Linked DNA regions of Ovis aries. The protein of the gene in region 1 interacts with the protein of each later gene in a biochemical or structural test. Links are inferred from orthologs where the notes say so. Each region holds a gene or a part of one and is shown on either strand. Other genes may lie near its edges.

The links.
Region 2: the proteins of PDZK1 (region 1) and SDK2 interact in a test that uses a peptide from one of them, tested with the Homo sapiens proteins (2 studies listed by IntAct, with this or other methods). The link is inferred for Ovis aries from reciprocal best matches to the Homo sapiens genes PDZK1 and SDK2.

Annotation. Positions count from the first base shown.
Region 1 is NC_056054.1:99,017,846-99,025,106, reverse strand, and holds part of PDZK1 (Na(+)/H(+) exchange regulatory cofactor NHE-RF3), read left to right. Parts: intron 1-1,892; coding exon 1,893-2,029; intron 2,030-2,872; coding exon 2,873-3,068; intron 3,069-5,240; coding exon 5,241-5,437; intron 5,438-7,261. UniProt on the Homo sapiens protein: A scaffold protein that connects plasma membrane proteins and regulatory components, regulating their surface expression in epithelial cells apical domains.
Region 2 is NC_056064.1:57,165,344-57,172,604, forward strand, and holds part of SDK2 (protein sidekick-2), read left to right. Parts: intron 1-613; coding exon 614-808; intron 809-1,810; coding exon 1,811-2,012; intron 2,013-2,901; coding exon 2,902-3,005; intron 3,006-3,482; coding exon 3,483-3,553; intron 3,554-5,087; coding exon 5,088-5,223; intron 5,224-6,770; coding exon 6,771-6,827; intron 6,828-7,261.

The DNA of each region.
Region 1 (7,261 bases):
AAGAGAGAGATTGGTATCTGTTAATGACTTTGTTGACGAACTGTCAATTGCTACGGAGATTCAACAGCAGCCTCTCTCCCCTGGCCCTTCCTTTGTACAGCTCTGCAAAGAGGGATCAGGATGGTGGGCAACAGCACTGTGGGCGCTCCCATCTGCCTGTGCTTGTTAAGCTGAGTCCTCAAGGCCAGAGGGTTAGAGGGTTGATGCTTCTCTGGGGGTAAAGATGGAGGAGAGAATGGAGAATAAGAGGCAAGAAAAAGGAGGTTCTCCATGAGCTACTTTTGAATTAGAATGATATCTCTTTTCATCTCTGAGTGTCCAGGTGGTCACTTATTCAAAAAATCCTTGAGCATTTATTTATGTTATCAGCTGCTGTTAAGAGTTGCCACAGGCACGGCCAAGATCCCCACCCTCCTGTGGCATCAAGGTAGTACCCTCAGCTGTGGCTATGCTTTGAGATGTCTCCCTGACCTCTAGCTGAGAGGTACAGTGATTTGAGAAACCCCAACCATCAGAAAGTACTAGATTCTGTTCCTAGAATTTCAGAGTTGCAGGCTGACCCATGAACAGTTGCCTGTGGTTTTTTGGATTTCACTGGGATTGAGGTTGGAACCATAGCTGGTCAGGGTTTTGGTTCCACCTCTAACGTTTCTCCTTCCCTGTTCTTTCTGTACTAGAAAGGCACTGGTGGTGGGTCATAATTTGCTTAAGTGATAAAGAGCTTCCTAGGTGGCTCTATTGGTAAAGAATCTCCCTGTCACTGCAGGAGACGTAAGAGATGCATGTTTGATCCCTGGGGCAGGAAGATCCTCTGGAGAAGGAAATGGCAACCCACTCCAGTATTCTTGCCTGGAGAATTCCATGGACAGAGGAGACTGGTGGGCTATATACAGTCCATGGGGTTGCAAAGAGTCGGACACGACTGAGCAACTAAGGCTTGGCTTGGAAAGAGCAGACCAATACTACACATGGTTTCTAAGGCTTATTTAACCTATTAGCAAGAGAAATAAACTAGCTATGAGATATCTCTTGAGTTTGCCAGTTGTTAAAACACAGTGATATAGGTGGTCAAGGGAAGCTTGGCATTTCTCAGAGGTTTATTATCAGTAATATGGTAAAAAAAAGAAAAGAAAGAAAGTAAGAAATTGCAGTTCAGACTATTCGTTTGGCCTTTGTGTAATGTCTGTGGTGAAAGGTTTAAATTAGCTTTATGAAGAAAATGTTTTCTTCAGGACAAACATATAAAAAGGTAACAGGAGAAATGCCAAGTATTTGAGAAAGCAGAGTTTAAATGATTATTTACAAATGGTTTATATAGTCATAATGAAGGTACCCTTTGCCTAGGCTGAAATATTAGTATTTCGACAGCACTGACAGCACTTCTTTAAGAAGCACCTGAATCCTCCTCCCTGCTAATCCAGCCTGACCATATGTGTCTGTGCTTTCCTCTCTTCCTGTGCCTGTGTGCTTTAGCCTGCATCAGTGAGATTTATTCAGTCCACTGGGCTGTGGTAGTTGGTGATAGTTTTAAAGAGGCCAGAACAGAGCAGATGCCGTCTAATTCTACAAATGCAAAGGAAAGGGAGAATGACACAGCGATGCTGAGTGGGCACGATTCGCTGCTTTCTGGTTCAAGAGGCCAGTGCCACTTGCGATTCCTTCTTTGTACTTATTTGGGCTCAGAAATCCTATTCAAATCAATAAAAACCAACTGAGTAATGGCTGTGTCAAGTTTGTGCTATGAGCTCTAATTGTCATTCTGTATCAAAGTCTATCTGAGTTAGTCCTAAAATGCAAAGTTCTAGTTTTATATTATTGGGAGAAAACCCTTTGCTGTTAGACTTTCAGTGTAATGGAGCTGTGACACCTGTCTACCCCCTACTCTCTTTCAGGTAAAACTGGAGTGTACATGACTGATATAAAACCTCAAGGTGTGGCTATGAAAGCTGGAGTGCTGGTTGATGACCACTTGATTGAAGTGAATGGAGAGAATGTAGAGGATGCCAGCCACGAGGAGGTGGTTGAAAAGGTATATCCCAAAGGAGCACTTTCTCGCCTTTAACGTTCACTCTGCTCTCACTGGAAGTGACAGGAAGACAGGAATGGTAGTTTATGATGGGAAGACTGTGATATGGGAAGCTAAACCTTCGTATTAAGAGCCAACGGACTCATTAGTGGTGTAAGCAGTGTTAACATAGGGCTTTGGAATGAGGCCTTTGCTAGTTTCATGTTGTCTTGAAGAAAAGTGTTCTAAAGAACCATTATCTTCTGGATCTTATGTGTAAGTTACTGGAATCACTCTCTAAACTTGTAGTAAATTCGATCTTGAATCAATGTTACTAAAGTGTTTTAATACAAGCTGGAAGATGACTAGTGTGGGTGATGAATATCGAGTTATACATGGGGAGTATCTGATGTGCTATACCCCAAGTCTTATGCCCCAGCAGGATGCACGGAAAACACTCAGAGGTTTTTCTTTGGGGTCATATGGAACCTTGAAAATTGACCAACTGTATCTTTTCTTGGTAGAATGGTATTTCAAAGTAGACCTTTACTTTCTTTTCCAAATTCCTTTCCTAGTCTTCACCTAAGTACCTTTCTGGGTTTTCTGAATTCTGGCTTTCACTTGGGTTCAGTTAGCATCTGTGTGGGTGACGTCATACTTAACAAAGGGAAAAACAACTATATAAGGGAAGATAAATAAATACCAGTGAGGTGGTACAAAACAGTATTACAGCTTAATTAAGCTCAGGACTTACATCCCATATATCCTGTTTAATCTATAGACTGTGTGCCTCAACACAGAAACTTTCCTATTTCCCAGCATCTTTCTTGGAGACTGATGTTGGTCCTCACCTGACTGTTGTTGCAGGTGAAGAAGTCTGGAAGCCGCATCACATTCCTGCTTGTGGACAAGGAAACTGACAAGCACCATAGCGAGCAGAAGATAAAAGTCAAGAGAGAAACAGCCAGTCTGAAACTGCTACCCTGCCAGCCCCGTGTTGTAGAGATGAAGAAGGGAAGCAATGGCTATGGTTTCTACCTGAGGGAAAGCCCAGAACAGAAAGGTAAGGCACTTGAAGAGCAGAAAACTTGGCAGTGTAACCACCCAATTCTTCATCCCAGTCTGACTCCCCAGAGTTCCATTAGGCCCCCCAGCCCCCCATCAGGGTATCCTTAGGTTTTCATAGCAGAATTATAAAGCAGAATTTTGGATCTGAGCAGTAGCATGCCAGTAAATTGGCTCTCTGGGGGGTTAAAAAAAAGCCCTAATTTGTAGTATGTGTTGTTTCGTTGTGGTGTAAATACTCCCACCATGTCTGATTTCAAGCTACAACAGCTGTCATAGAACGCGAAGTTGAGAAGTATTCTCATGAGCTGGTGTGTGACAGCGCCAACATCCCACTAGATCTGAGGCAGGGGTGTGGGTGGGGATCTGGGACATGAATAGAACCAGGAGTCTTTCTGATTCCCTGTAATTCAGTAAGAATTAAGGTCCTCCTACACAAGCTGAATACATTACGAAAAAAAAAAATGTAGGTTCAGGCCATGAAAACTTATTCACCCAGAATTACCATTTTCTTTCCATCATATATATTTACATTAATTTATGAAACATTAATTTGACTCATATGGTATAAAAACATCCTCAGGATCTTTGAGAATATCAAATGAATGTGATAAGAATTCTTCAGTCAAGAAGACCCCTATTTACTAGAGGAGATAAGACATATATGTCCATAACTGAAGGTAGATGGTAAGAAACATCTTAAAACAGGGCAGGTAAGATACTATGGAAATTCAATGCTGGAGCGAGTTTTTCCTCACGAAAAAGGTATTGGGAGGCCTCAAAGTAAAGGTAGCACTTGAGCTCTGGCTTTATAGTATGAATAGAATTTAGGCAAGTTGATGGGGTAGGGACAGATAAGTCCAATCCATGAAGACAGGATTGCGTGAATAAAGCAGGAAGACACAGGCTCAGTTTGATTGCTATTTAAAGTGTAGCACAGAAAATCAAGTTAGAAAGGTCAGTCGGAGAGACATATGATGGACTGTTAGTGCATGCTGAGGAGTTTAGACTTATTTTCAGAGTTAGTGGGGAGTTATTTTTTGAACAGTGTGAGAGAGAAGAAAAATTAAACCTACATTGTCTTGCGGGCTTTACACATCTCAATTACTCCTAATAATTTTGTAAGAATTGCTGAAACTGGGGACTTGAAGAAGATACAACAATTTTTATATGGTCAAATAGTTCTAGTACAGCTAGAATCAAAATTAGGTCTGTTTAGTTCCAAAGCTCACATTCACGCTGTCATGCTGGGGAGTGACTCGCTCAGACGGTGCATCAAGATGAATCTGAAGGCAGGTCTGTACTGGAGAAGGCAAACAAGGAGGGGAGAGCAGCTGGTAAGGTAGCAGGTTAGGAAGAATTCAAGGCAGGAATGAATACAAACTGCATTTCAGGTGGAGGAACTAGGGCTCCAGAAGAGATGTGTAAAAATATTAAGGTAGCACTGAAGGACTTGGCTGATTAGACACAGGGAGTGGATGCTGAGGAAGAATCATGCTACCTGTCAGTGACAGGAGGATGGTGCTCCCACTAACGGGTGACCAAGAGATGCCAAGCAACTAGCTGGAAAAGTGAAATTGGAGCTTGTTAAAACTGTATGAGGGTCAAAAAAAAATTAAGGGTGAGAGATCTGAAGGTTTCTGGTGAAGATGGTTCAATTCCTGAAGACTCAACACCCATCTGTGTGGCACGCACTCACAGATCCATTCACAACTGAATTTGCCCAACTGCTACTAAAAGGCTAGCTTGGGTTTCCTGGGGTCTGAATTCTTTGGTTTTGTTCACCATTCTTCCCATCCTCTCCTCCCCTTTTTTTATGGCTTAGCTTCTACATAAGCATACAAGTATGCACACTGATTTCCTGGGACTTTGCTGACCCTTACTGCTTAGCATGCTGTTTTGCCAAGATTGAATCCCAAACACTTTTAGTAATAACATTCTTTTCTTTAAGACTCTCATTATTAATGACTGGGTTTATTCCTAGAATGAGTTCTGACCAAAGAGCGAGGTGGATAGGATGTGTATAGATATCCTAGTGGGAAGGAGTTGTACTCAGCATGCCTTTTATATCTATTTTATAAAGGCTTTAGGCCCCAGCAGAAATCCCCCAGTTTGTTTTCTATGGATCTTTCTGGTAATTCTATTTAAATTTTTTTTGGGGGGTGGGTAGGTCAAATCATCAAGGACATAGATTCCAAAAGTCCAGCAGAAAAGGCTGGCTTGAAGAACAATGACCTGGTGGTTGCTGTCAATGGCAAGTCTGTGGAGTCCCTTGATCATGACACTGTGGTGGAAATGATTAGAAAGGGTGGAGATCAGACCTCTCTGCTGGTGGTAGACAAAGAGACAGACAACATATATAAACTGGTAAGTAATACAAGGTCACATATTCATGAATTAAGGTTGGGTCCATTCACTCACACCCTCAAACTTTGGTTAAGTTACCACTTTGATCTTCATACTGGAAGAGGCATAACAATCATCATTAAGGCTGTACTGAAGCTCAAATTGGTAGATAAGAGAATGTGATGGGTTCATGAGGTTTAAGTCCTTGGAAATAAGATTTTTGAAAGAATTTGCAAATGTAACTGCAGAATTTCTCTTGGTGACCTAGGAAAAATCTATGAACAATAGCCTGGAAATAAACAGATGTAGTCCTAACTTTCCCAAATAGGGAATGACTGGATTTTAATCTGTAGACCAATGTGTTCTACCAATCCCATGTAAAAGCCTAAAGAAAGTGAAAGTGAAGTTGGTCAGTAGTGTCCCGACTCTGCGACACCATGGACTGTAGCCCACCAGTCTCCTCCATCCATGGGATTTTCCAGGCAAGAGTACTGGAGTGGGGTGCCATTTCCTTCTCCAGGGGATCTTCCTGACCCAGGGATTGAACCTGGGTCTACTGCATTATAGGCAGATGCTTTCCCATCTGAGCCAGAAGGGAAGTCCACAGGGACTAGTTTATAAACCCTTAGCAAGGGAGTAGAAACATAGATTCACCAAGACCAAGCTGTGTCAAACTAACCTTATTTCCTTTTATCTCTTAGTCACAATAGCTATTGTCTACATATTTTAAAGTTTTTTTTAAATAACACTTTGATCACAAGAACTGAGGTTCACTCTAGCTTAGCAGACATTCAGGGGCCTTCTAAAGTATCATCTGCCTTGTTGGGTGTTGGTCACAAAAATGAACCAAGATGAACTTGTTCTATGTGATATACAATAGAAGCATCCAAAGGCATATAAATGATATAGAGGGAGGAATATTATGGGTGGTAGAATTAGCCTCCTTCAGATTAAAAAATCCTGAAGCTTAGAGAGACTAAGTGATTGGCTAAACTCACTCATTTTAGCAAAGACTGAAGTCAGTATTTGAAAGCAAGTTTTAATTATGCCATACTCTCTCCCAGCACATTTTGAATAGATATTTCAAGACCTTTGTGTAAAGAAGACTAACGAGTGAACTGGATGATAGAAAAATTAATGGGTTTTTAGCTAGTTGAACAACCATACCTAAGAGTACTTGATACTGGACCAAATGTCAACCCGAACAGACTCTAACAGCATGCTGTTTGTTCCTAAGCTAGCATATTATTAAATGTGGATGGAGACATGGAAAACATATTTAATATACTTAAATCATACAGATGACTTAACGTGTTGATGGATAATTACTAGAGACTAGTATTTAAAATATCAAGATAGAAGAATAGTCAAGATAGAAGAATAAAAACTAGTAAGTTTAAAGTTTAATCAGGAATATATTTCAAGTACTAAACTAACTTAAAAGTAAATTGTATAAACACCAAATGGTGAGGTCTGAACTGATGACTATAGAAAAAAGTACAGAAAACTTGATGACACTCTAAGTAGCTGCCCCTACCCAAAAACCTCAATTTAAAGTTACATTAATTGACACTTGGCTTTTGAAGATGATAGTATTACTGTTCTGAGTTGATCAGACTGTACCTGAAATTACCAGTAATGTAATTTTGGGTAAATAACCCTCCCTGTGCCTGTTTCTTTCATTGTAAGGTAGGTGTATCTATGGCAAAGGGTAGTTCTTAAGTGTTATATGAGTAAATCAACAATGAGCCCAGTCCTGGCAACCTCACTTTAGGCCAGTGTCAAGAAAGGTAACCAGGGAATAGGTTTTGTAAGACATTATGTGAATATTTAGTTTGAATAACC
Region 2 (7,261 bases), on another chromosome or scaffold:
GGGTACCCTGACAGGCTCAGCCCAGGGGCTATCACAGGTGGGAAATGGGGCCCACGGCCCCCAGCAGGGATGCTGTAGATGGGAAGCATCATTTCATATCCAAGGCTCCTCCCCTAACACATACAGACACACTCACACATGCAGGAGGAGGTGCAGGGTTGAGATCAGCAGCCGTGTGAACTTAAGCCCGTCTGCTCCCCTCCACGGCCTCAGCCCCTCACCTGTAACGTGGGGACTGGACCACGTGTGTCCAGTTCAGGGCTCTCAATCCCGGCACCTCCCGGTGATAGTCACGCCTCTGCAGAGTGGAGGTGGGGAGGGCACGTGACTTAGACTCAGAAAGACCTGGGCTGGCTGGACTTCCAGCTCGGTCACTTCCTGGCAGGTGGTCTGGCCTCTCTGAGCCTCAGTGTCCTCCTTGGGGGCTGGGCTGGGTAAGGGGTGGGACGCACCGGTCCAAGGCCCCCAGAGTCACACTCCCCAGGGGGCAGCTGAGGATGTAAGAGCGACCCAGAGTGGCTCGAGGGCAGATGCTGCGGCGGCCTCGGGTTTGGGGCCCTGGGGGCAGCCTGCCCTGCCTCCCAGCGCCGCAACCCCCCTTCCCGCCCCGCAGCATACCAGATCACCCACCGGCTCAATGCCACTTCGGCCAACGCCGCCGCTGTGGAGGTGCTCGCGCCCAGCGCCCGCCAGTTCACGGCCAGCGGCCTCAAGCCGGAGTCTGTCTACCTGTTCCGCATCACGGCCCAGACCCGCAAGGGGTGGGGAGAGGCTGCCGAGGCCTTGGTGGTGACCACCGAGAAGAGAGGTAACCATCCCCTGGGGCTGGGGAGGGATCAGGCACTCACCCCCTTTCCTGGTGCCCCGCCAGGGGTGGGCCAGTGACAAGCTGTGAGTCTCTTGTCCTGGTCCCGAATGAAGAATGGGCTCCCCTCTCTGTCCCCAAGGCCGGCACGGGCTCCAGTAGACTTCCGGAGCTGGGCGGGGCGGTCCCCTTCCCAGGACCCTGCTCTGAGCCGGTACTGGTTTTCCAAAGGGCGGGTTGGTGAGGCCAACTTCCCTCCTCACTCCCTGCCCCCTTGACAGAGGGGTCCAGTTGGGTACAAAACGGGGCCGCAGCCCGGAGCCCCGGCTGCCTTTGCCCTGTGGCCTTGACCCGGCTTCCCACCCCGGATCGGGTTCCCCAGCAGCAGGCCTGATCCCCAGACCCCTGTGAACCTGACTTATCGGACAGTGTTCCCAGAAAAAAAAAACCCAGGACAGTGGTTCTCAACCAGGGTGACTTGGGCCACTGGGCAAAGTCTGGAGGCCTTTGGGTTGTCACACCTGGAGAGGAAGGCGTCCTGGCATCTAGTGGGTGTGGGCACACAGCCCACGGTGTGCAGGACGGGCCCCGTCAATAGAGACCCATTCACCCAAAGCCAAAGTGCAGAAAACCCCCGCCACAGGGCGTGGGGACACGAGAGGGGACCACGCACGGGGGGCAGACAGGCCGAGTCCCGTGGAGGGAACGTGGGCTCAGCCCCACTCCATCAGGACCAGCCTAGGTCCCATCACAGCCCCGTGCAGACACGGGTCGAAGGAGCCGATGTCCACACCTCTCACTGTCAGCCCTGGGGGGCGAGTGGGGTGAATTCCCAGACACCCAGGCCTCTCCTAGTCCGGGGACCACCGCTGACCAGGAGCCCCAGTGCTAACTGCTGGGTCCGCTATGCGTGGAAATGGGCTGGGGAGGTGGGCGAGAACGTGCCTCTCTTATCCCCCTGCCGCTTGCTCACCGGCTTGCCCCCTGCTCCGCGCACCCCCCTAGACCGCCCGCAGCCCCCCAGCAAGCCGGTGGTGCAGCAGGAGGACGTGAAGGCACGCAGCGTGTTGCTGTCCTGGGAGCCGGGCAGCGACGGGCTGTCCCCCGTGCGCTACTACACCATCCAGACTCGTGAGCTGCCCAGCGGCCGGTGGGCGCTGCACTCAGCCTCCGTGAGCCACAACGCCTCCACCTTCCTCGTGGACCGGTGAGGCCCCGCGGTCTGGCCACCAGCCTCTCCACCCTGCCCCGCCCAGCCGGGGCCGCACCACCCTGAAAGGGACTCCTGGGGGCCCGGAGCCCAGCCCCACATGGTTTCCATAGCCCCCATCCCCCAGACCCCTCCCCATCCACACACATCCCCTCCAGCTGTGTCTGAACCTCCCTCCCCACCCTCCCTGGAGCCTTGTTAGGGCTGCCTCTTAATTATCTATTTCTGGAGTCTAGAAGCCCCTCCTTCGAGAGAGGCTGGCCACTCTTCATTAGCTGGATCCCGCCAGCCAGCCGGCATCTCCTTCTCCATCTTTAATAGGGGAGTGGAGCTCCGCTCCGAAATCCTGCCTTCAATTTAATTCCTACTAGGATGTATTTTTAATATTCCAGTTGACGTGACCGAGAGTTTTGAGCAATACTCTTCTCCTCCCCACCCCCCACCACACCCCCAATAAATCAAAAAGGAAGCCATTTGCCTGGAGAGGAAATGAGCCTCCTGGAGATGAAGTGCTGGTTAACTCTTGAGACCCTCAGCCCCTCCTGAATTTACTAAGTGCAAGAGCGGGCTGGCAGTTCTTAGGGGCAGGATCAGCTCCCAGTGGGGTTACTCCGCCTGCAGGCCCCTCCGAAGTAGGAAATATGTGGACGTTTCCACTTGGGGACCTCTGGCGTCTAGCTGGGACCAAGGGTGAGGCCACGCCCCGAGCTGGCCCGGTCTAGGGGCCCCAGGGCCTGGCCTAAGCCCCAGGTTGTTGCCTTCATAGCAGACCGCCCTTCTGAGCCTCCATGTTCCTGTCTGTGTAATGGACCCTCGCCCTCTGGGGCTGCCCTGGGGGGACCTAGAGGGACACCTCCCCCATTCATTTATTCCGACTCCTCTACAGGCTCAAGCCCTTCACATCCTACAAGTTCCGCGTGAAGGCAACCAATGACATCGGAGACAGCGAGTTCAGCGAGGAGTCAGAGCCCCTGACCACCCTGCAAGCCGGTCAGCACCCTCTGCTTGGGTCTCTCTCTCGGTCCCCTGGGCAGTTGCTGGGTGCTGGGCATTCTCTTTGTGGCGAGGAGGCCTCCAAAGATGGAAGGACCCTAGGCCTGCTGGATCCTTGGTCTGGCTCCCTGGGCAGACTCCCAAGGAGGTTTGGGTCCGAGGGACCTTCTCCAGGGCTCAGCACCCTCAGCCAGCCTGGCGTCCTCACATCTCCGAGCTCATGGCCAACCCCAGAAAGCCGCGTCAGCGTGGAGAGACCCGTGGGGGGCAGAGAGGGGAGGCTCCAGGCCCTCGGGTCTGCGCTGGGGTCAGGGTCCCGGCCCCTCTCCCCATCCACATTGGCTATTCTTGCGCAGGAGTTGGGGCGGGCGGTGGGGGTGGGGACTATGCCTGAAACAGGACCAGGGTCAGTGGAACCTGGTCCCCATGGCCTCCCAGGGGCCCCAGAGCTCAGCTGCCCACCTCTCCCCACAGCCCCCGACGAAGCGCCCACCATCGTGTCGGTGACACCCCACACCACCACCTCGGTGCTGATCCGATGGCAGGTACGCCCGGCAGGTGGGGAGGGGCCCATGTCCCACGCAGACTCGGTCACAGTCTGTGCTCGGACCAGCAATTCACCAGCCCCGGCAGGACTGGAACACGGTGCCCACGTGCATAGACACGCACGCTCACATGTATACGGACACACCCTTCACTCCTCTCCCCGTAATCAGATCCCGCCACATACCCTTGTGTGGATGAGGACCCAGACTCAGGGAGGGGATGAGAAAGTCCCAGGTCACGCAGCTGCTGGCTGGCCCTAGGTGCCCTGAGGTCAGCAGAATCCTCGGACAGAGACAGGCGTGGGGCATCCAGGGTCTCCGTGAACCCAGCCCTGCTCTGAGTGAAGGGGTTCCCAACAGAGACCAGACACAGGTGTGTGTGCCTCACCTGTGCCCGGGCCGGGCTCTGACCTGTGAGCAGGAACCCACCGTCCAGGTACAAAGAATCCCCCTTCCATCCCTGCCCACCCCCAGCCACTGCTCATGTGGGCACTGCCTCTCACATGGCCGGAGGAAGACCCAGGACACTTCTCAGAGAGCCGGCTGCCCCTGGGTACCTTCACGACCCTCCCCAACCCCCTGAAGTCCAGCCATGGGGTCCAGTCACCCCCAGAGGCCCCAAAACCAGGAACTAGTGTCTCCTTTTCTCAGGATTAGAGGGGCAGGTGCCAACCTTTGCCCACCTGCCGATCCCCTGAAGGGGAAGCCTTTGAGGAGGAAACAGGAGGGACCCTCCCCAACCCTCCCCCATCCCCAGGCCTGCCCTGAGGAGGACGGTCCCCAAAGAGAAAATGACCTGGAGCAACCAGGAGCCAGTGGAGGCTGGAGCAGGGCGGGGCCGTCCTGATGGAGTGAGCAGCAGGGAGGTGCCAGATGCAGCCAGGGACGCAATTAAGGAGCTCATAAAAAGCTGAACTGTTGCGGCAGGTTTTTTAGAAGAGGTGTCATAAAAGGCAGTTTCCACCTTCTCCAGAAGCCTGTTCTCCAGCTCATCTGAGGACGGGAGCAGAAAGCAAAGGAGAAAACGATAAAGACACAGAGGCGCAGCTCAGGGAGACACGCTCGCCCTGGGTCTCGCTGTACAGCAGGGCGGGGCCTCTACGTAGTTCCCTGACTCCTGGGAAACTCCAAGAGATCTTGGCCAGGGTGGGTGATCATGTGAGGAAGTTTCTAGACAAGGAATGACACTCTAAGACTCGCCCTGCATCCAGAGTCGTGCTCAGGGCCCCCACGATGCTGGGTGACCTTGGGAAGGCTCCTTTCCATCTCTGAGCCTCGTTTTTCTGCTCTGTGCGGTGGGAATGGCGTCGTGATCCCTGCCGTGCCCTGCCTCACAGAGAATGCTACAGGGGTGGAATAACCTCGCCGGAAATGCTCGGAAATTAAAGCTGCTCAGTGCCACTTCAATTCCTTTTCCTGGTCCAGACACAGTCCCTGCTCTAGGCCTGCGGGAGGCGGTGTGCGGAGGGAGGGAGGGAAGGAGGGGCCGCGGTCCAGCCCAGCCGGCTCCATCCTCCTACCCCCTGCCCTGCAGCCGCCGTCGGAGGACAAGATCAACGGAATCCTCCTGGGCTTCCGGATCCGCTACCGAGAGCTGCTCTACGACGGACTGAGGGGCTTCACGCTGCGCGGCATCAACAACCCAGGGGCCAAGTGGGCGGAGCTCACCTGTGAGTGACAGCGGGGGGAGTTGGGGTGGGCGGAGCCTGAACCTCCCAGCTTCCCGGAACCTGGTTACCCTGGAACCCTGCCGCCCTCCCCGTGTGTGCGTCTCAGTTCAGTCACCAAGTGCGTGTTTCCTTAGCACTTCACACGCCCCCGGACACCGGGGGATACCAGGGAGCAAGGCAGACAGGGTCCCTGCGTTCTCAGAGCTAGCGGGCTGGAGGAGGAGCCAGGTGCTGGAGAAGAAAGCCCTGGTAGGGGCGTCTAAGACCGCTGGCCTGACCGCTGTGAAGGGCACATTCCAGGGGAGCCTAAAGCCGGCGGCGTCAGAAAAGACGTCCCAGGGGATGCCCGTGGCGATGGCCCTGATGGATGATTCCAGGTCTTAAAGAAGCGGGGGTGGGGGGGTCCTGGCATGTGCAAAGGGCCTGAGGTGGGAAGGACTCAAAACCAAGCCTGGTCGCGTCCCAAGGGCAGCAGTCTGGCCCCTTCTGGTTCCTCTGGGAGGTTACTGTTCTGCCCTGGGGTCCTCGGAGCCCAGCCGGCCTCTGCAACTGGAAGGAAGACGCGAGAAGCCAAGTAGAAACCGCAGAATCATTCAAGCTAAGGAAGGATGCGCCCTGCTTTCGGTTAGGACAGTTACTTCGGGAACTTGAAGATGACGGCTGGTGATGGGGCAGGGGGCCCAAGTAGAGGCGAATAGGAGACGTAGGGGAGAGCGGGAGGGTGGCCCCGAGGCAACAGGCTTGGGACTGAGTCGAGCCAGACTGGGAGATGGCGTGCTGTGGTCCACCCCCCACTGATTCTTGCTGGGGATGGGCAGGGGTCACAGGAATCAGTCCCTGGATGGGCGGTGGGACCAGATCAGAGACGGGTGGGAGCGGAGGAGCAGCTTAAGATCCTCTTGATCCGTCTTGACGCTTCCTTCCATCCTTCTCTTAAACCCTCTGCTCCTTGTCTTCCAGAGGGTATTAGCAGACAAGATGATTGAACGCGGAGCCAAGGAAAATTAATAGAAAAAAACTCAGAAGTAGCTGATCCAACAGCTTGCATTCTTTTTTTTTTTTTTTAAATCTTTTGGCAGACATGTGCTGGTGGTTGTGATTTTATAGGCCTGTGTATAATACAGTCATATTTCCTAGTAGTAAAATGGCTTCTGGTTCATATGAGGAAATTAACGACACCGCTCCATCACGGCAGGAACTCAGCCTTTAGACAAGGGCCCAGAGGGTCCCTCAGAACCGTCTCCATCTGGGGGTACTGGGCTCCCAGGGACTCCTGGTGCCCTGTGACCTCCGGCGGGTGCACGCCAGGGTGGGGCAGCATCATCCTGGGAGCTGCCTGCCCCCGCCCCGCCCCGCTCCCGCCCCAGCCCCTAACTCAGGAATCTGGAAGGCCCTTCCCTCTGCATGTGTCTTCCCATCCCGCCTCCTCATCAGGGTCTCTGTGGCGCGGTGGGTGTGTGTACTAACCTCCTCTGTCTGCTGTCTCCCTCCGGCCCCCTCCGCACCCCACCCCCTGCCCCGACCACCCCCCTGACCCCACCCCATAGCTTTCTACTCCATGCGGAACCTGAGCCGGCCCAGCCTCACGCAGTACGAGCTGGACAGTAAGTCCCCCTGCACAGCAGCTCCCCGACGGGCCAGGCCTCCCACGGGGAGGGGAGAGGGGCCTCCGAGGACTCCGGCCTGCAGCCCAGGGCTACGCCCACCTCAGGCTGCTTGAGGAAAGGCGCCTTCCTGCACACACGCGACTTTCCTGAAATGCACAGAAAAGCAGGGGGTCTCCCAGGAGGGTCTGTCCCAGCCCTCATCCATCAGGACAGAAGAGAAAGGAAAATGGCTTTGGCCTTATGCTCTGGGGAGCCGGGGATGGTGACGGGGTCCGCGGCAGGACCTGGTGGTCCCGCTGGTTGGATGGGTGGGGGGTCACGCTGCTGCCGCCCGTCTCGTCCATCAGAGGCACTTGTCAGCTTAGCTGTCTTGTCCGCCGAGTTCCACCCTGAAGTGAGCAGAGCCCCTTCTTCCGCCAGGGACCAGGACA